Linked DNA regions of Arabidopsis thaliana. The protein of the gene in region 1 interacts with the protein of each later gene in a pairwise test. Each region holds a gene or a part of one and is shown on either strand. Other genes may lie near its edges.

What was found.
Region 2: the proteins of ATB' GAMMA (region 1) and ACO3 interact in a two-hybrid assay, tested with the Arabidopsis thaliana proteins (one study listed by BioGRID).

What each region holds. Positions count from the first base shown.
Region 1 is NC_003075.7:8,811,992-8,821,814, forward strand, and holds ATB' GAMMA (Protein phosphatase 2A regulatory B subunit family protein), read left to right. Parts: upstream 1-4,930; 5' UTR 4,931-4,967; intron 4,968-5,039; exon of another isoform or gene 5,040-5,055; 5' UTR 5,056-5,439; exon of another isoform or gene 5,440-5,572; 5' UTR 5,573-5,715; coding exon 5,716-6,906; coding exon of another isoform or gene 6,907-6,980; coding exon 6,981-7,358; 3' UTR 7,359-7,736; downstream 7,737-9,823. Other genes in the region: BIA1 (HXXXD-type acyl-transferase family protein), read right to left, coding at 130-1,437; PUX5 (serine/threonine protein phosphatase 2A 55 kDa regulatory subunit B prime gamma), read left to right, coding at 2,877-3,373, 3,620-3,911, 4,029-4,124, 4,225-4,605; RTL1 (RNAse II-like 1), read left to right, coding at 9,693-9,823.
Region 2 is NC_003071.7:2,136,541-2,148,841, forward strand, and holds ACO3 (aconitase 3), read left to right. Parts: upstream 1-4,788; 5' UTR 4,789-5,050; coding exon 5,051-5,330; intron 5,331-5,423; coding exon 5,424-5,528; intron 5,529-5,605; coding exon 5,606-5,859; intron 5,860-5,943; coding exon 5,944-6,129; intron 6,130-6,306; coding exon 6,307-6,468; intron 6,469-6,633; coding exon 6,634-6,778; intron 6,779-6,871; coding exon 6,872-7,014; intron 7,015-7,086; coding exon 7,087-7,143; intron 7,144-7,230; coding exon 7,231-7,310; intron 7,311-7,395; coding exon 7,396-7,471; intron 7,472-7,602; coding exon 7,603-7,788; intron 7,789-7,870; coding exon 7,871-7,938; intron 7,939-8,030; coding exon 8,031-8,149; intron 8,150-8,261; coding exon 8,262-8,383; intron 8,384-8,494; coding exon 8,495-8,593; intron 8,594-8,672; coding exon 8,673-9,152; intron 9,153-9,239; coding exon 9,240-9,338; intron 9,339-9,420; coding exon 9,421-9,663; intron 9,664-9,741; coding exon 9,742-9,810; 3' UTR 9,811-10,138; and 1 more. Other genes in the region: AT2G05720 (Transducin/WD40 repeat-like superfamily protein), read left to right, coding at 10,652-11,087, 11,281-11,675. UniProt on the Arabidopsis thaliana protein: Catalyzes the isomerization of citrate to isocitrate via cis-aconitate. Contributes to oxidative stress tolerance. Modulates cytosolic citrate metabolism during lipid mobilization. Required during seedling growth.

The DNA.
Region 1 (9,823 bases):
GATCAAGGTAACATATAAACTGAATTAACATGGAACTTGAAATGATTGGTCACTTTATTCAAATCACAACGAAAAGCGAAAGCCAATAATTAATTAAATCCAGCGTAGAGCAATTGGTAGTAGTCTTGTTTATGCCACGACCGGGGGATTTAGGACGGCATAAGCAAGCAACTCTTGGTCATCGACAAACACGGACATGTCTTCCTCAGGTAAGCTTATCCATGCTTCTACACCATCACCTTCTTTTGAATCAATCAACACGACACCCACCATGTTGTCGTAAATGGTATGTGACGCGTATCCCACCCAGACCGGACTACCCGATCCGAAGTCAACCTCGTAGAAAGGCTTTCTGCACCAGCTAGACATTATGTATCGGTCTATCTCCGTTGACTCTGACACAGTTTCCGCCATCAAACTCAACAAACTCTGACCAATTGTATTGCCTTGAAGACTCTCTTTGATCATCTCGTTGACTCTCTCTTTGTTCTTCCTGAATGTGGCCACGATTTCAGGGATCTCAAACTCGCTCTCCGCGTCTTTCTTGAGAGAAAATCCGCTTTGTAGGTTACCAATCACGTCTTTTGGCGCAACACTAGATGGAATCCTAAGTCGAATGTCCATGGCCTGCCACATGACGGCTTGCCTTGGAATTAACAAGTTAGAGCGTGAGGAGTTTCTAGCACATCTCCAGATAAGTGACATGATAGCTTCAACACGTGTAGGCACAGGGACGCTTTCGCTAGCGGCCTTGTGTTTCAGCTCAGCAATCTTAGAAGGTTCGAAGACGAATCTTTTGAGTACGTATTTACTTGTGATGTTAGAATCGGAATCCGTTGATGGGAACTGTTCATACATATGAGAAGGAGGAGGAGGATAAATAGTCGTTTCAGCGAACTCGATAGTACTGTTTGACTTCCCTTTGGCCGTGGTGGTAGCCCAGTCTTTTACAAAGGTAACCAATGAGGCTATATCACAGATTTTGTGAGAGACAGAGACAGAAACCGCCACTCCTGATCCAGACCCGAAGAAAGTGACCTTGACACTCAACAACGGCCAGGCCGCTGGAGATTCTCCAGCAGCTAGTGTCGGGAGGAATCCCGACAGGGAGTCAGTGTTGAGGTTTCTAAGGAAATCAGGAAGAAGGAGATCGGTGCGTGCCTCGGTGAAGACGGCTCCTTCGTCGTTACAGCTGATGGAAAGGCCTTCTATTCGTCCAGCTAGTGGATAGAAGCGTGAGAGAGTCTCGGACAGAGAGAGTTTCAGATTTTCCGAGAAAACCTCCGAGGACTCGGTGATGAGATCGTAGAAGAAGATCGTCGACACGTAGATTCCAGGACAATAGAGATCAAGGATAGAGAGCTGAAGGCGATCACGAGGTGATGGTGAAGCAGGTTTGATCACTTCTTTCCCGGTCACCTCTAGCTTCGCTTCCATCGTCTTCCTTTAAAAGTCAACGGGTTACAAGATTGAAGTATTGAGGAAACTTTGACAAGAGGAGAAGATGGAAGAGACAAATGGATCAGAGATGTGTCCTTTTAAACTGGTAGTTGAATCGTTGATACAAGTTTCAACTCCTATCCATGTGTCCACACTAGGAACAAAATTTAATTTAAGAAAAAATAAAGTCTGCTAACAATGTTTATTTAATTCATTCATATTAGTAAATTAAATAAAACTTCAAATGCTTAAAATAGACGACTATGTAATATTTAATTGGTGATAGTAATATAATTCGACTTCTAAACAAACAAAAAAAAACATATATTGAAGATTGATTTAATTGTATTTAAAATTTTAGAGAGCGTTTATGAATTATAAAAGGGGAAATAATTTTGAAATATATAGTTATATATATAGAAATAAAATAAAAAATCAGAAAGAAAATATAAACGTTATGAGAAAGAAAAAAGAGCAAATGATAGTGGCATATACCAACTGGTAAAACTTCTAAGAGGATTGTTTGTTAAAAGTCTCACATCGAATATGAGACTGAGCCCTAGTCCAAAAATTACTAAAATGGTCAAAATGATTTGTTCAAAAAGGGGGTATGGAACCTCACTAAAATAATAGTGGTTGCATTTTAGTAAGTGAGGTTAGACTAATGGTTGAATTTTAGTAAGCCAAAAACTTTCCATCAGTAATTGCTAATTGGATCAACTAAATGCCATCACACAAAGAAACTATTGCTGAAATTGAATATTGATATTATCAAATTTTGGTATATCTCCAACAACCATAGTCCTCAACAAACATAGAGTAAGTCTAGTTCCTAAATTTTCAATATCTAGCTGTTTTTTTCTTTTCAATATCCAACTTAGTAAACACATTGTTCAGAAACACGCCAAAAAAAAAAATCAACACATCTCAAACCATCATTATCCAGAAGGGTACAGTAAATCCAGTTCCTAGTTTTCGATTTCTAACTTCAAAAATGCTCTCTTTCTACATACACTTTTTTACAAGTCTCTATCACAGAATCGGAACATGTGGATAGAGCAATGGTTAGTAGACTCTTTTCCCCGACCACTCTTTGACGTTCCTCGATAAATCCGAACCTAATGATCAATGAACACGACGAGTCATTTATACAAAGGCAACAACAAAATGTGGTTTCTTCTCAGTTTGCTTCCTTGAAAATTTAGCTGTTATATACTAAAAGGCCTTTTGTAAGGCTAAAAGGCCAAGCCTTTGGGCCCATTAACATCACCGTTTATTCGAAACGTATGTTGTTAAGACTTGAGAGAAGTTTGACGGTGAAAAAAGGAAAATATTTACATATATATAGTAAAATTAAAATAGTAGAAAGAAAAAAATCAGAAAGCTACGAAAGAAAAAAAAAACAATCTAGCAACAGAAGAAGCTTCGAGAAGACGATGGCGACGGAGACGAACGAGAATCTGATAAACTCCTTCATCGAGATCACTTCTTCATCAAGAGAAGAAGCTAATTTCTTCCTCGAAAGTCACACTTGGAATCTAGACGCTGCCGTTTCAACTTTCCTCGATAACGATGCCGCCGCAGCCGCCGAACCAAACCCTACCGGGCCACCACCACCTTCTTCTACTATTGCCGGTGCACAATCTCCTTCTCAATCTCACTCTCCCGATTACACTCCGTCTGAAACCTCTCCCTCTCCTTCCCGATCACGATCTGCTTCTCCGTCTTCTCGCGCTGCTCCCTACGGTCTCCGATCGAGAGGCGGTGCTGGAGAGAATAAAGAAACTGAGAATCCGTCGGGAATTCGGAGTTCTAGGAGTCGTCAACACGCTGGGAATATCCGTACATTCGCCGATCTGAACCGTTCTCCGGCTGATGGCGAGGGCAGTGATTCGGATGAAGCTAATGAGTATTATACCGGTGGACAAAAGAGGTACAATTTTCAACAGATCTGATCATAGTTTGGAAAATACTTAGATGATAATACTGTTGAGAAAGTGAATTAGGGCAACATGATCATGAACTTGAGCAATGTGCGTAGATCAATGATAGTTTAGGGATTGACCATATCTTGTGTATGTAGCTGAATTGTCTTTCTTGAAATTCTTATATAGCTGGAGAAAGTGTATGTTTGTGTCGCTAATAGAGTTTTGTTTTTGGATTGTGTAATGTGTTGTAGTGGGATGATGGTACAAGATCCTAAGAAAGTGAAAGATGTTGATGAACTTTTTGACCAAGCTAGGCAGTCAGCTGTAGACAGACCTGTTGAACCATCAAGATCAGCTTCTACAAGCTTCACTGGAGCTGCGCGTTTGTTGTCTGGTGAAGCTGTTTCGTCTTCTCCTCAGCAACAACAGCAAGAGCAGCCTCAAAGGATTATGCACACCATCACTTTCTGGTTGAATGGTTTCACTGTTAATGATGGTCCGTTAAGAGGGTTCAGTGACCCTGAAAACGCAGCCTTTATGAATGTAATGTCCAGATTTTCTCTAATTAGTAACTACAATTCCATGGAAATCAAGCTTGATACTTGTCTTTACTCACTTGGATAGTCTTTGAATCCCTAATATATATGTTGTCTTTTGCAGAGCATCTCAAGGTCAGAGTGCCCCAGCGAACTCGAACCAGCAGATAAGAAGATCCCTGTTCATGTCGATCTGGTCAGGCGTGGAGAAAATTTCACCGTAAGTCTCATTCCCATCTATCAATAATAATCTCGTTAACCTATTCTCTGGAGAAGCCACTCATAGGATTCTTTTAACGTCTGTATCTTTTGACTCACAGGAACCACCAAAGCCTAAAAATCCATTCCAAGGTGTAGGAAGAACCCTAGGAGCCAGCGGATCTGGTTCAAGTTCAGCACCACAAGCTTCATCTGCCCCAATGAACGTAGCACCAGCACCATCAAGAGGGCTAGTTGTAGATCCAGCAGCACCGACAACCTCTATCCAGCTCAGATTAGCAGACGGAACACGCCTTGTCTCCAGGTTCAACAACCACCACACTGTCAGAGATGTACGTGGGTTTATCGACGCTTCTAGACCCGGTGGCTCCAAAGAGTACCAGTTGCTAACCATGGGGTTCCCTCCTAAACAATTGACAGAATTGGACCAAACCATCGAGCAAGCTGGTATAGCTAATGCCGTCGTCATCCAGAAATTCTAGACTTACATAACTCATCCCTTCGATTTATGTCTCTCTTTTTTTTTTTTTGCTTTTGTGTTTTTGAACCTGATCGTTGACTTTAGTCTCTAACTATCTGGTCAACGCTCTAGAGGCTTTGGATTTTCGTAGATTTATCAAACTCTTTTCTTCAGATTTATTAATAACTTTAGCAGTTTAGCTTTTGCATAATTTATTTATTTCTTCAATCGACTAGCTACTACCATATCTTTTAGAAAGAATAATCGAAAAAATATTATCCAATGAGCAAATTACTTATATCCTTGGACTCGTGAATTGACGAATTGACCAGCTTCTGCATAAATTCCACACACATACGCTCTCCTAATATCAGGGACATAATGGTAATTAACGTACCTGCCCATCTGTCATTTTCCTTGTTCTCTTCAAAACCTTTTTTTTGGAAAATTAATTTTATTTTTTTGTAAACAGTTCTATAATGTCTGTTATTCGGAATCCAAAGAAAGCCAGAGATATTGAGATTTACAGTGAAAATCTACAGAGGAAGAGATAGCGAAGGACAATTATTAATTTATTTTCCTATTTTAGTTTTCATTACAACCTTAATCTTCGTGTTGTGTGTTCTGTAACTTCCCAGATTTTTTTTTTCTCTTTGCTGGGCTTCGTTGCCTTTTCCCCTTTTTTTCTCTTTCCTCTGCTCTCGATTCAGTTTAGGGCGAGAAAAAGTAGCTGTTTTTACAGGGTTTATCACAAAGATCCTTCCTTTTTTACTTGAAGCTCGCCATTTTCTTAGGGTTTCTCTTGATTTCATTCATCTCCAGTGCCCAGATCTCTCTCTCTACTCATCTGCCATTTGTAAGCTCCTCTTCTTCCTCCTCTCTCCAAAGTTTACATTTTGTTGTTTTCTCTGGATCTTCTTAAGCTAATCTTTGATTCTGTTTATGAGATTGTGTTTCCGATTATGAATTTAGGCTTTGTCTACATGCAGGGCTGTGTTCAATGATTAGGGTTTTGATTTAGAACCAAAGCTTTTGGGTTTTACTGGTTTAGTTTAGGCTTGTTGCGAAGTAGAGAAAAAAAGGGAAGGGTTTTGGCCCTTTTGTGGGGAGATAATTTAGGGTTTCTGTAATTATGATCAAACAGATATTTGGGAAATTGCCCAGAAAACCTTCAAAATCTTCGCATAATGACTCGAATCCAAACGGAGAAGGTGGGGTTAATTCATATTACATTCCCAATTCGGGTATTAGTAGTATCTCGAAGCCTTCTTCGAAATCATCCGCATCGAATTCGAATGGAGCAAATGGAACTGTTATTGCTCCTTCTTCAACGAGCTCTAACAGAACCAATCAAGTCAATGGAGTTTATGAAGCATTGCCAAGCTTTAGAGATGTTCCTACCTCGGAGAAACCTAATCTGTTTATCAAGAAGTTGAGTATGTGTTGCGTTGTGTTCGACTTCAATGATCCGTCGAAGAATCTGAGAGAGAAAGAGATAAAGAGACAGACTTTGCTTGAGCTTGTTGATTATATTGCAACGGTTTCTACAAAGTTGAGTGATGCTGCAATGCAAGAGATTGCGAAAGTGGCTGTTGTTAATCTTTTCAGGACGTTTCCTTCTGCGAATCACGAGAGTAAGATTCTCGAAACGCTTGATGTGGATGATGAGGAACCTGCTTTAGAGCCGGCTTGGCCTCATCTTCAAGTTGTCTATGAGCTTCTTCTTAGATTTGTGGCCTCGCCTATGACTGATGCAAAGCTTGCAAAGAGATATATTGACCATTCATTTGTCTTGAAGCTCTTGGATTTGTTTGACTCTGAAGACCAGAGAGAGAGGGAATATCTAAAGACCATTCTTCATCGGATATACGGGAAATTCATGGTGCACCGACCCTTTATCAGAAAGGCGATCAACAATATCTTCTACAGATTCATTTTTGAAACCGAAAAGCATAACGGTATTGCAGAGTTGCTTGAGATACTAGGAAGTATAATCAACGGTTTCGCTTTACCGTTAAAAGAAGAGCATAAGCTCTTCCTAATCCGGGCATTGATTCCACTCCACAGACCTAAATGTGCATCTGCTTATCATCAACAGCTTTCTTATTGCATTGTTCAGTTTGTAGAGAAAGACTTCAAGCTTGCTGATACGGTCATTAGAGGACTTCTAAAGTATTGGCCTGTGACTAATAGTTCAAAGGAAGTTATGTTTCTTGGAGAGTTGGAAGAAGTTTTGGAAGCAACTCAAGCAGCTGAGTTTCAGCGATGTATGGTTCCTTTATTTCGTCAAATCGCTAGATGCCTCAACAGTTCACATTTTCAGGTGCGACTCTCGATAAGTTGTTCATATAGTCTCGCAATTTTGCAGGTTATATTCAAAGTTGCTTCTTTTGTCAGGTGGCTGAAAGGGCTCTATTTCTATGGAACAACGATCACATAAGAAACCTGATTACTCAAAACCATAAAGTGATAATGCCCATTGTGTTCCCGGCTATGGAGAGAAACACACGGGGGCATTGGAACCAAGCAGTTCAGAGTCTGACTTTGAATGTGAGAAAGGTAATGGCAGAGACAGACCAAATTCTGTTTGATGAATGCTTAGCCAAGTTCCAAGAAGATGAAGCGAATGAAACCGAGGTTGTAGCCAAACGAGAAGCAACATGGAAGCTTTTGGAAGAGTTAGCAGCTTCGAAATCCGTAAGCAACGAGGCAGTGCTCGTCCCCCGATTTTCATCTTCAGTTACTCTTGCAACCGGTAAAACTTCGGGTAGTTGAACACTTTCTGCTCTCTATCACCGAGACATACTTTCAAACAATCCAGCAGAATTGTATCGATCCGTTCGAGCATCAGGATCAGTCCTTGAAGAAGATTAAGCACGATGATTAAGAAGGGCAATATCATCAGTGAATACTTAATTATAACATTTTTTTCAGGTTTATGGAATCATGGGTTCAATTGTTTGTTGCTTCTGATCCTTTTTTTTTCTTACTCAGCTCTTAGTTGAATAACAATCTGAGGTGTAAGAAATATGGCTTATAGATATAGTTCTTGAGAGGACGACTAAACAATTATTCGTATTTGTATTGTGGAATGAATTGTATTTTATGCTTTGAAGTTCATTAATTTAGCTCCCCTACTAACCAAATCATAACCGAAGTTATCGAATCTCGGTTTGGTTCGGTATATATGCAACGGCATTTTCGTAAACAAGTCATGTTTTTTTTCGTGTGAGTTTTAGAAAATACAAAAATCATATATAACACTAGATTTTAATTTAAAGTTAGTATAATTTTTTTTTTGCAAATTGTATCTATCTATAATATATTTTTATTTTATAGTTTACAATTGTTATTAAGTAACGTCCTGCCAAACCCGTCCCGCCAAACCTGTCCTGTAAAAAAATCATTTATTTATATTAATATTGATCTTATTTATGATATGTTTATAAATCATTCTCTAAATATTTTTGTCGATGCAGGACATTGAACCCACACATTGTTTGCCAATTGGTTAATATATGTTCATTTTTAAAATTTTGAATCATAAAATGTGACAGAAAAAATTAAGATTTTTTTAAACTCTATATATTATATAATGATGTTAAAAAATTGTGATATATCAAACTTTTTATAAGTTTAAATATTAATAATGTTTTATAAATTTTAAATATATAAATAATAATATTTAAAAAATTAATATTTTTGCTTATAAGGTAATGACATAATAACTCTAAAAGCAAGGATTTAGAAGATTTAAATCTTTAATTAAATATTTTCATTAATAAATAATTAATGTCAGTGACATGACATTGTAAATAAGTTTAAATACAAAATTTATTTATTTAAACAAAAAACGGTTAGTAAGAATAATATTTATTTAACAAAAAACTTTGTTTTAAAATATTGTTAACAAATGTCTATGCTAATTTTAAGGGATTGATTTGAATTTTGTTGGGATTAAATTTGATTGATAATGTGATTGACTATTTAAATCAAAAATTTAAAATAAAATTAATTATTTTGGAAAAAAGATTTAATGCTAATGGCATTAGATTGTAAATAAGTTCAAGTCCAGGATTTATTTGCTAAAATGGTTGCAAAAATGTATATATAGATAGTGTAAAAATAAATTGAATTACCGATGTATTTTTAAAAAAAATCGTGAAATCTAATTTATTTACGGAAAAATATTACCACATTATTTTTGCAAATATTGTGTATGGTAATGAATCCAATCCATTATTCTAATTTGTTCTTAGTCAATGAGTGGTATTCAATTTCATTGTCCCGGTCCCACGGACTGACTACTCAGCAACCCAATCTTACAAAGTCAAAGTCAACTTTTATTTTGTTTCTCTTTTTTTCCGTTTCCATCCCAAATTCATTTCTTTATAAATTATTTATTCCTAAAAGGATTTGTAAATTAACCTAATTTGCATTTCAAAATATTTTTATCTATTTTAGTATTAAATTGGAATAATTGTTATTTTTGTATTAAAAAAACACTAATATCCAAAATTGTTATATTGCTTTTTATTTTGCTTTTTTCTATTTTTAATTTCTATTTTTTAATAGCATCGCCGTATCGTCGCATCGATACTCGGATTTAGTAAATAAGTGTTTTTTAGCAAGAGTTTATGCAAGTCCGCTTCGATTAAAGTATCTAAACCAAAATCCAAACACGTGGGAGTTTCCGTTTTAATTTCTAGTTATATTATACCCTTCGTTATTTAAGATATAAAACAGCAATTTATTATCACTAATTGATAAAACCTTCATTGCAAATATAAACTAGATTTTAAAAATAAAATTTGACTTTTAAAATACAATGTAATATTATTAATGATATAAAAACAAAAAACCTAAAATGGTATTGAAGTGTCAAACAGAGGAAGTATATGATATATATGTAATTAACTAGTCAAAATCTGCTGTGATAACGACCAATTCTAAACAATTATAAAATCTTCTAAAAATTAATGAGAATCTACTATATTTAATAACTAAAATAATAGAAGGATGACAATTGACAACTATAACAATATTGAAGAAGTCATACCAAATATATTAAGACGTGTATAAAAAGGGTATCATAACCGAAGACTTAAGATGAACAAGACACAAACACAACAGAAACTTAACCAAAGACATATCTCTCTCTCCTCAAACCCACCTCTTGTCTCTATGGGATCGCAACTCTCAAACGCAATCGACGGTAAAGATAACACCAAAACCATCGG
Region 2 (12,301 bases), on another chromosome or scaffold:
CTTATGCTCTATTTTAATTCCCTCTTAATAGTTTTAATTGTTCACAGTTTTGAGTTTCTTGTTTTTCTTGATTATAGAGTTTGATGGCAACTCTGCTTAGAAGACTCTTATCCTTAAATTCATTAGTCGGCTATAAGGTAAATTGTTTTAAACTTGATGTTTTTGATTCATGTCTTTCATAGATTAAGAAGTTAAGTATTCTGTTGTATCAAAGTTCAAGGACATGGTGCAGATTGAGAATGCGACAAAGAAGAAGCTTGAGGTTGCTGTTGTTGGCTTGTTTTCACTCTCTTTCACTTTTTTTTACTACTTTCCAATTGAATTTTGCTACTTCTTTACTCTTTAGGATGTTATGGTTTACTTTTCTTTCAAAACTTTGATGTATTGGCATAGTTTATGCCTCACTTTGGTTTCAAAACTTTATGGTTTGCTATGGTTTCATTTCATCTACTCATTTCAGTTTTGGTTTGCATATTTTGGTTTTTTCGGTTTATGTTCGGATTAATATCAGTTATTCGGTTTCAATCGGATGTTAAATATCATATCCATACCGATCCGAAATCCAAAATATCCAAACCGAAACCGATCCGAATTTTATAATTATCCGTATGGATATTAGAATCTATATCCAAACAAACCGAAATTCGAAAAAATCGAACCTAATCCGATCCGATAACCGAACGCCCAGATCTAACACAAATCTTAGCAATACTTTCTCAAATAAAAGATTTTACAAAATAAAATATGATGGATCAAATACGCAAATAGTTATGTGAGTACAACAGAGATCATACTAGTTGTATTTTAAAAAGAGTTGTAATTGTAGCTTGAACAAAAATTTCATATAAAAATTAGTCTTAAAATATATACTTAAAATCTATGATTATTAATTTATAATATTATTGGGACTATAATTTTACATAGGGATTTCAAAAAAATTATTATCTTATTATCTTATCGATTTTGGTTAATTTTTACATTGTCCCGACTTGAGACTTGCAAAATTTATTAATTTATCGTGTTTATTAATTTATCGAGTATTAATTTATAGAGTTTCTATTGGATAGAGTTTTTAGACCGAAAAAGAAGAAAGACGATTAAAAATGAAGAACGGTTTGATAACAACCTAGCTATTTCTAGATCTACTAATCATATATTTCCTGAGAATACCCTAAGCTTGACGCTTTTATTATCTTAATTTACATCCTCATAATGTATTATTTGCTTTCTTGTTTTATTTTATTTTCTTACTTATTTGTTTAGCTTATTCGAAACTATTAGTCTATTGTGTGATTCGAGAGTTTTGTGGAATTCGACCCTAATGTACTACAATCGATCTCTTATTTGAGAGAGTGGTCTTATAATTAATTAGACCTTCATTTCCAATACGTTAGCCACGAGAGCATAACTGAGGAAGTCGTGGAGAATCTTAGGATGAGATTTGTTGTCGACATCTATCAGGAGTTTGTTCAGGCTCTCCGTGTTTGATGCCCATTTCAATATTTTTGTTTAAGAATTTATGTCTTTTGTAATTTTTATTTATTCTACTTTGTTTTCTACTTAGATGCCACTTTATTTGTAGTTCTATAACTCTTATCTTTGTATGTAGTCTTAATTAGCACTAGATTTTAACCCGCGGTACTATATTTTTCTAGAAAAAATCAAACTGTAATTTTCTTAATTAATTAATATTATTATATAACCTATTGTTTTGTATTTTTCTCAATGTACAAAACTATATGATGTGCAATTTTTTTTTATTAGTAAATATAATAATATTAGATTTCATAATTTTTTATTTAGTATTAAAGTTAATAATTTTTTATTAGTGCTGGAAAAAAAGAAACTGAGGCTGATAAAATATTAAAATTACATTTAAACCGTGTTATTACTTTGGGTTGATGATACTATAAATTTGTAATAATATCAATCCAAACCCGTCCCATCATATAACTCTAAATTGATATCATTAAGATTTTTGGGTTAACATATTGAATATTTTTTCAAAACTAATTGACATTGCCAACATAGAAACATTAAAATCGAAATTACAGTAAAATGGTAACTTTTTACTCGATATCACAAAATCCAGTAGATAATATTCAAGAAAATGAAACATGACCACTTTAACTTTTTTTTTTTTTTTATAACACGATGACCACTTTAACTTTTTTTTCTTTATGTGAGAATAATACAAAATAAACCAAATAAATAATACAAAATATGACCATAATATCAAACCTTGCACGATTATTTGATAATGTGATGGTTTATTTGAAATCTACATATACATTTTTGCAGCCACTTTGTGAAATAAATCTTCAAGTTGAGACTTATTTACAGTGGCTGCCACCGGCATTTAATAATTGTTTTTGATAATTAGAAAGTAAATCTTCGAATTAAATATTTGCATTTAACTACCTTTCCAAAATCTCTCTGCATTAACTATACGATTAATTACTAAAATAAAATTTCCAAAATATTTAATATCATTTAAATACTACAAAATTATCATTTTTGATATTGCTTTTTTTTTATGACTATAACAATTCGATTATAAGCAGCAAACCGTAAAGATATTTGATAGCAATTAATTACTACAAAATTATAAAATATTTAGACAATGATTCATAAACATATCATAAATAAGATCAACATTAATAAAATAAATAGTTTTTTTTACGAGACGGGTTGGCGGGACGGGTTTGGCAGGAAGCTACTTAATAACAATTGTAAACTATAAAATAAAAATATTTTATAGATAGATAAAATTTGTAAACTTTTATATATACTAACTTTAAGGAAATAAATTGTCTCCGCGGTATACCGCGGGTTAAAATCTAGTTAATTAGTGTTATCGACTCATGATTAAATATATAGAATTGATATAAACTGAACAAGATTTCAAAAGTATTCATATGAAAAGAATTAAAAAAAAAAGCATAAATTAAAGCAGTATTTAAGTCAATACTTTTAGATCTTCTCTCATTGCATATATCAATATAAGAGAAATGATCGTGTATTAAATTATTTGGTAAGTCTAACGTTTTAAAGGTTTATTATTTGAAAAAACTTGAGTGTCAATGTTATCAAAGACTCAAAATAAAATTACTAAACTAATAAGAGGTTAGGTAACGAACAAGTACAACACAAAAAAATTAGTAAAATAAAAAGAGTATAATAAAAGTAGTGCTTAATTTATTAACATAATTTTTTATTTTATTTTTATCTTGAAAAAATCAATTAAGAGTAGGATTGATGATACATTTAATTTGCTTATTTAATATGATTAATATTTTAATTTAAAAAATATAGAATGACACATGTCATTTTTTTGTGTGATGATGTGTCATTCATATGGAAAGAGTTGGCCAACTTTCATATATATGATTAGATTTCTAAATGATCATTGCCGTAATATTAGTAAAGATGTGTCCAGTGTTTTAGCAATTTTTACCAAACTAATTTTGATTTACATCTTTAATTAAATATTTCATTTATTAATAATTAATGTCAATAGCATGACATTGTAAATAAGTTCAAGTACAAGATTTATTTGTTAAAGTAGCTGAAAAATGTATATGTAGATTTTAGATCTCTAAATAAGATTAACATAAGAAATCTGTATCGGTCTAACTAATGATGAATCGCGAAGGACAACGTTAGAAAACTAATGACGAAAATATGTTCATGAGAATAATATATACTAAACTAATAAGAGGTTTGGTAGCAAACAACTACAACACAAAAAAAAGTCATTATCTAGTAGTGATTATTGATAATAAAAATTTAATAAAATAAAGAGTATAATGAAAGTAGTGCTTAATTTATTAACATAATTTTTTTTTATTTTATTTTGAATCAATTAAGAATAGGATTAATCATACATTTAATTTTAGAGTATTTATAATAAATGACTATAGATTTGAAAAGAATGTACAAACTAACCTTGAGTCACAGTATCTTGTCGGAAACATGTTGGAGAACACTTGTTATTTTCTCTTATTACATAGTATTTATAAAAAGCACATGCTATTTTTTGGAAAAAACATTGTATTCAGTTTAATATATCTTTTTATCATGATATTTTGTAGTAATACACGTTTTTTATTGAGATCACACGTGATTTCTTTAAAAATATTCTTATTTTTTAGTAATACATGGTTTTTATTAAAATCACATATAATTTTTGTTTTAAGATTCTGTTCATGTAAAAGAATTTCATAATAATGTTTTAAAAAAAAAAATTCATAACGTATTATGAAATAGCATGTTTTTAAACTAAATATAACATGTGAAATTTTAATGTTACATGATATTTTGAAAAATTACACGGATGTGTTTCGTTTACTTTTCATCTTACAACAAATAAAGGATAGCTTTATTATTTCCTTTCTTCCGACAACGTGGGTCCATGGTTATTTTGTAACAAAAAACTTTATCTCTGCTAGTTTCTTAATTTGTATGTTTTATTTGGTTATCTACTAATATTACCTTTAATTTTATTATTTTTTAAATTTAAAAATATAGAATGATATATGTCAAACTTTTGTGTGATGCTTTTGTGTGATGGTGTGTCATTCATATGGAGAGTGTTGACCAATTTTCATATATATATGATTATATATTAAGAAACTATATATTACGTTGTCTTTTTCAAACAGGTAAAAATGTTATGAGATTTATTTGATTTTTAAGTAATTATTTAAATTAAAATAAATAAAAATATATATTATTTTAATAATAGGGGCTAAATAGAAATTATGTGGAGGAGAGGGGCTGCGTAGATTAAAATCCAAAAAATACCGTAAACAAAAAAAAATATTCCCTTGCGAGAGAGGGAAGATTGACTTATTGGCACGCAGCCCTAGGCATTTTCGTTTCGTCTCCACACGCCTCTCTCTCTCTCTCGCTTCTTCAATCATTCATCACTCCGACGTCAGATTCAAAATCCTCCATGATCGATCCCAATTGATCAATCAATAACCTTATCTTCTTCATCTTCTCTGTCAGTATCTGAATCTGCATCTGGAAGCGTGATTTCATCATCATGTATTTAACCGCTTCATCTTCCGCTTCTTCCTCCATCATCCGAGCTGCTTCTTCTCGCTCTTCTTCTCTTTTCTCTTTCCGATCGGTTTTATCTCCCTCCGTTTCATCTACTTCTCCGTCGTCTCTTCTCGCTCGTAGATCTTTTGGTACCATTTCCCCTGCTTTCCGTCGCTGGAGCCATTCCTTTCACTCGAAACCATCTCCGTTTCGCTTCACCTCTCAGATCAGAGCTGTTTCTCCAGTCTTAGATCGTCTCCAGAGAACCTTCTCTTCCATGGGTAAAATATCTCGATCTGATTGATCTAGCTTGAGTTTTTTATTCCGATCTCTGTTGATTAGTAGTAACTGTTTTGTGATTATGATTGTTTCAGCGTCAGAGCATCCGTTTAAAGGGATCTTCACTACACTTCCTAAGCCTGGTGGTGGTGAATTCGGAAAGTTCTATAGCTTACCTGCTCTTAACGATCCACGAGTTGGTATGGATTTTTTGAATCTCTCTTTGAATGAGTTTATGAAGGACCTGAGAATCTGAAGAGGAGTGTTGTATTTGCAGATAAACTTCCTTACTCTATTAGGATTCTGCTTGAATCTGCGATTCGTAATTGTGATAACTTTCAAGTTACTAAGGAAGATGTTGAGAAGATTATTGACTGGGAAAAGACATCTCCTAAACAAGTAGAGATTCCTTTTAAACCAGCTCGTGTTCTTCTTCAGGACTTTACGGGAGTCCCAGCTGTTGTTGACCTTGCTTGTATGCGTGATGCGATGAATAAGCTGGGAAGTGATTCCAACAAAATCAATCCCTTGGTATGTTTTTGTTTGCCACAGATTGATGCTTTTTGTTTAGGTTAGGGTTCTTTTAGATTTCTTATGTTATACTGTGTCTCTCAGGTTCCGGTGGATCTTGTGATTGATCACTCGGTTCAAGTAGATGTAGCTCGATCAGAGAATGCAGTGCAAGCAAACATGGAGCTTGAGTTCCAGAGGAACAAGGAGAGGTTTGCTTTCCTTAAATGGGGTTCTACTGCGTTCCAGAACATGCTTGTTGTGCCTCCTGGCTCTGGTATTGTGCATCAGGTAATTCTCTTTTTTAAAGTGTGCGAGTCCATAAGTTGTTTCTAAACTTGTTCTGACATTGATATATATCCTTTTCAACCTCATGTTTCCAGTGTATTGAAATGTTTCTTTTCATTTATTATCTTCTTTTATCTGTCTTGAAGTTTGTCTCAAACTAACCTCATCTTGAAAATTCAGGTCAATTTGGAATATCTTGGAAGAGTTGTGTTCAATACCAAAGGCCTTCTCTACCCAGACAGCGTGGTTGGAACTGATTCACATACAACTATGATTGATGGTTTGGGAGTTGCTGGATGGGGTGTTGGGGGTATTGAAGCTGAGGCAACAATGCTTGGCCAGGTAAATTATTTTGATTATTTACATGACGCACATCAGATGTTGGTTAATCTGGAGTCAACTTTACTGAATTTTAGATTAGATCACTATATTTTATGACTCTTCTGCTCCAATACAGTGAGGTTTGTGAATTTTTCTTATACTGATAACGCTTTTTTGGTTTGACAGCCCATGAGTATGGTATTGCCTGGTGTTGTTGGATTCAAACTTGCCGGAAAAATGCGTAATGGTGTAACAGCTACTGATTTGGTTCTAACAGTGACTCAAATGCTGAGGAAGCATGGCGTTGTTGGAAAGTTTGTTGAGTTTTATGGTAATTATATCCTTGTGAGCTCTTAAGTGTTTTGCTCTTTTATAATAGACATGTGTTTGTTGGAGCATTATAAGTCTACTTTTTTCTTCTTAGGTAATGGCATGAGTGGGCTGTCCCTAGCTGACAGGGCGACAATTGCCAATATGTCTCCCGAGTATGGTGCAACCATGGGCTTCTTCCCTGTGGATCATGTTACTCTACAATATCTCAAATTGACTGGAAGAAGCGATGAGACAGTGAGTGTTTGACTTTAATCTTCCTTCTATATATATTCAGATATCTGGTCTGATACAATACTTTCATGGCAGGTGGCTATGATTGAAGCATATCTTCGGGCTAACAATATGTTTGTTGACTACAATGAGGTAAATTAGCCTTATACTTTCTTTCTTTTTTTGTTTCTTAATCTCCTTTCAGGTTTTTATTTGACTTTGCTTGTGAATAAATTTCAGCCTCAGCAAGACCGGGTTTACTCGTCATATCTAGAACTGAATCTGGATGATGTTGAACCTTGCATTTCTGGACCAAAGCGGTATGGGTTCTGTTGGTTTTTGTAATCGCGAAGTTTATTGTCTGAATAATTGGTCATGACCATATTATTGATATCTTCTTTGCAGGCCACATGATCGTGTTACTTTGAAGGAAATGAAAGCTGACTGGCATTCATGTCTTGACAGTAAAGTTGGGTTCAAGGTATGTAACTGGATGTTTCACTTTGTGGATGTCTAATCTCTTAACCATTTACTCGTTCTATAGACTGGGTTGTTGGTGCACATTTTGGAAATCAATGTTTATTTCTGAATATTGCTATTCATTCTCCGCAGGGTTTTGCTATACCTAAAGAGGCACAAGAAAAAGTGGTAAATTTTTCGTTCGATGGACAACCAGCAGAGCTTAAACATGGAAGTGTGGTGATTGCTGCAATCACAAGCTGTACTAATACATCAAATCCCAGCGTCATGCTTGGTGCTGGTCTTGTTGCAAAGAAGGCTTGTGACCTTGGGCTACAGGTTGGTTTCACGAGAGCAAACTAGAAATCTATCTGATGCCTCGACATTTTCTGATCCCTTTTTCAAAAACTTGCCTCTGTAGGTTAAGCCTTGGATAAAGACAAGTCTTGCTCCAGGCTCAGGAGTTGTTACAAAATACTTATTAAAGAGGTATGTCGTATTTTTATCTAGTTCTTCGTTGTTAAAGGCTAATTCTTTCTTATGTGATGGTAAATTTAAGTGTAACATCTTACTCCATGCAGTGGATTGCAAGAATATCTGAATGAACAGGGTTTCAATATTGTCGGCTACGGGTGCACTACATGCATCGGGAATTCTGGGGAAATTAATGAATCAGTGGGAGCTGCTATTACCGAAAATGGTATTATTGAGATTCCCAACTAAACTTACTTTGGACTTTCCATCCTTTATATTACTATTATATATAAGTAAGTAGCTGATTTGTTTTCAATATTTGTGTTGCTTGGTTTTAGACATTGTGGCGGCTGCTGTGCTATCCGGTAACAGGAACTTTGAGGGGCGTGTTCATCCACTAACAAGAGCCAATTACCTTGCATCTCCTCCGTTGGTGGTTGCCTATGCTCTTGCTGGCACGGTAATAAATCTTGAGAACTTGTCAAAGTTCAACTTACATTTTGTATGAGATAATGACACATGACTGATTATCACATTGGTAATTTTGGCGTTCTTCTTTCTTATTTTCCAGGTTAACATTGACTTTGAAACGGAGCCTATTGGCAAAGGAAAGAATGGCAAGGACGTCTTCTTAAGAGATATCTGGCCAACCACGGAAGAAATTGCTGAGGTATATACGACTTAACCAGAGAACAATAACATCTTTTTTATACACAAATATTAAACTAATCTTTTGACATATGGATCAGGTTGTTCAATCCAGTGTTTTGCCTGACATGTTCCGAGCAACGTACGAGTCAATCACCAAGGGTAACCCCATGTGGAATAAGCTGTCTGTTCCTGAGAATACCCTCTACTCATGGGATCCCAACTCAACTTACATTCACGAGCCTCCATACTTCAAGGACATGACCATGGATCCTCCTGGTCCACACAATGTGAAGGATGCTTACTGTTTACTCAATTTTGGGGACAGTATCACCACTGATCACATCTCACCAGCTGGAAACATCCAAAAGGACAGTCCTGCTGCAAAGTTTCTCATGGAGCGTGGCGTTGACCGTAAGGACTTCAACTCATATGGAAGTCGCCGTGGGAATGATGAAATAATGGCCAGAGGTACTTTTGCTAATATCCGTATCGTTAACAAGCTCATGAATGGTGAAGTTGGCCCTAAGACTGTTCACATTCCATCTGGAGAGAAGCTCTCAGTCTTTGACGCTGCCATGGTTTGTATTTATCTAATTAAAATTTGTATTACTGACTGTATGTTGATCATGTCGAATGTCTCCTTATCATAATGTCAAATGTATCAGAGGTACAAGTCATCTGGTGAAGACACAATTATTCTGGCTGGAGCTGAGTATGGAAGTGGTAGCTCACGTGATTGGGCTGCCAAGGGACCCATGCTACAGGTTTAGAACCGCTTCTCTAGTTTCTTTCCGCATAAACCAATCTTACTGTTTTATTCTGAAACAACAAGTTTGGGATTGTCAGGGTGTTAAAGCGGTGATTGCAAAGAGTTTTGAGAGGATTCACCGAAGCAACTTGGTGGGAATGGGAATCATCCCATTGTGCTTTAAGTCCGGTGAAGACGCAGATACTCTTGGATTGACTGGTCACGAACGCTACACGATCCATCTCCCAACCGATATCTCAGAGATAAGACCTGGCCAAGATGTTACCGTCACTACCGACAACGGAAAATCTTTCACTTGCACAGTCCGCTTCGACACAGAGGTAACTAAATACTCCAATCTTTAGTGAAAAAAAGCTTTTCAATGTGAAGGAACTAATAATGGTAAAATAAATGTGCAGGTGGAATTGGCATACTTTAACCATGGAGGCATACTTCCATATGTTATCAGAAACTTGAGCAAGCAATAGTGAAGGAAGCAATACACAAGTTATGGAGCAAAATAAAAGAGTGTTTGTTTCTGTTTTAAAATGTCTTTTTTAAAAGGCAGATAAGTCTGTCTAGGATTAGGTTAAAAGGTGAGTGATCTCATGCAATATATGAGTTTCAGTGGGTTATTCTTACACGCTTAGGCTCCCATGTTTCGCAACTTGCAAGAGTTGAATATTATTGTTTTTGAAAAGGAATAAGAGAGCCTTCTTGCATATTCCCATTACTGACTCCCAAAGACCTCGCAATCTGTTGCATTTCACAAGCGTATTCAGCAGCATCTATACCAATTCTCAGATCATGTTCAAGAACACCTGCTCTATTCAAATCTACTTGCACCATTAGAGTAACCAACTAATACATAAGAAACACAAACATCTTGCAGCTGAAGCCTAAAACCAATACAAGAATCTGATAAAACCAAACTGAAACTTGTCATAAATTCCATATGAACCTGAGAGTAATCTCCTGTGTCTGAATGAAGTAACTTGCCAGCATCTTCTTCCATATGAACCCTAGTAATACCAAAATCTCCTATGTCCACCACCAAACTCAAGAGGAATATCCAAATCTGATAACCTTGAAGAAGATCTGGATAAAAATACTGCTTCCTATCGAATTTAGACTTAAGAGACAAATCACAATTCAAAGCTAACCCCAATAACCCACTTTTTTAATAGATTTCCTTTCTTTCTTTCTGATCCATCTCGTTTACTTTGCTATAAATAAGAGCTTTGGTAAGCCAAACCTTCTTGTCTTCTAAGTGAACTAGTCTTGTCACGAGCTTCTTCTAGATCTTGTTTCAAAAGTTTGTTTATACCAATGGGTCCAACAGAGCTTAGAGAGGCTAGAATAGAAATTACCAAAGATTTTATAAAGAGAGCTGCTCTAAGGATTCAGCGTGAAAATCGGCGAAGGAATGATCCAGATGAAGATAAAAATGCTGAGACTAAATTGGCTTTAAAGCATTGTAAAGACATGGTTCTTGGTTCTAGTAAATTTGGGGATGATCGTCCTCTTACTGGTTGCTCCTTATCACGAGATGGAAAAATACTCGTCACATGTTCTCTTAGTGGGGTTCCTAAATTGTGGGAGGTGCCTCAAGTTACAAACAAGATTGTTGTCTTGAAAGGTCATAAAGAACATGTAACTGATGTAGTGTTCTCGTCTGTGGATGATGAATGTCTAGCAACTGCTTCTACTGATCGAACTGAAAAGATATGGAAAACGGATGGAACACTTCTACAAACTTTTAAAGGTCATTCAGATCGTCTTGCACGCATTGCATTCCACCCGTCATAGTCGTAGTGTTGAGATGCCTCCGGACAACGAGTTTTGATAAAACATGGAGATTGTGGGATATAAACATAGGAGTTGAGATGCTTTAACACAAGAAGGTCATAGTCGTAGTGTCTACGGAATTGCATTTCAACAAGATGGATCATTAGTAGCTTCTTCGGGTTTTGATTCGCTTGCAAGAGTTTGGGATCTTCGTACGGCTAGGAATATTCTTATCTTCCAAGGACATATCAAACAGGTTCTCTCGGTGGATTTCTCTCCTAATGGTTATCATTTGGCATCTGGTGGTGAAGATAATCAATGCCGTATTTGGGATCTACGGATGAGAAAGTTGTTGTATATTATACCAGCTCATGTGAACCTCGTTTCTCAAGTAAAGTACGAACCACAAGAACGCTATTTCCTGGCTACTGCCTCACACGACATGAACGTTAATATATGGTCAGGTAGAGATTTCTCGCTTGTTAAAAGCTTAGTAGGACATGAGTCAAAAGTCGCATCTCTTGATATCGCTGTAGATAGCTCGTCTCGCAAGTGTTTCGCATGACCGCACCATAAAGCTTTGGACATGCTGTGGGAATGATGAAGATAATGGGAGAGAAACAATGGACATAGAACTCTAGTTTGTTTTTGAGTTATTTACATTTTACACTCTCACATACTTTTTCATCTTTCATTTTACACTCCCACACTTTCATCTTCCAAAACAATTTTTTTCCTGTGTTATTACCGAAACGCCCCCAACTACATACCATACACTTTTATCTTTCAAAAATAACGGTCCTCTTTTTTTTTTTCTCTCTCTCATTCTCTCTCTTATTATTATTTTAGTTACTTAATATAAAGTGTTTTGTCTGTTTTCTTATATAATAAATCAAGAATTCATTTTTCCTACATTTTAAGATCCATTGTTACTATATTTTAAGTAAATAATTATATGACAGTTTATCCATTTCCGATCGAACATTTGTTTACTATTAAATGGATTTTAAAAGGTACTTGCACAAATATACTATACCGATATTTATAACTACTGATCATCCAAACATGTGAAAGAAAGTGAATGCAAAGCTTGAAAAAACAAAAATGCAGATGTATTAATTCAAGCGTTCTGATCTGATCTGATTCAAATAAAAGAGAAGAACATGACAAGTAAGATGTCCATCAAAGATT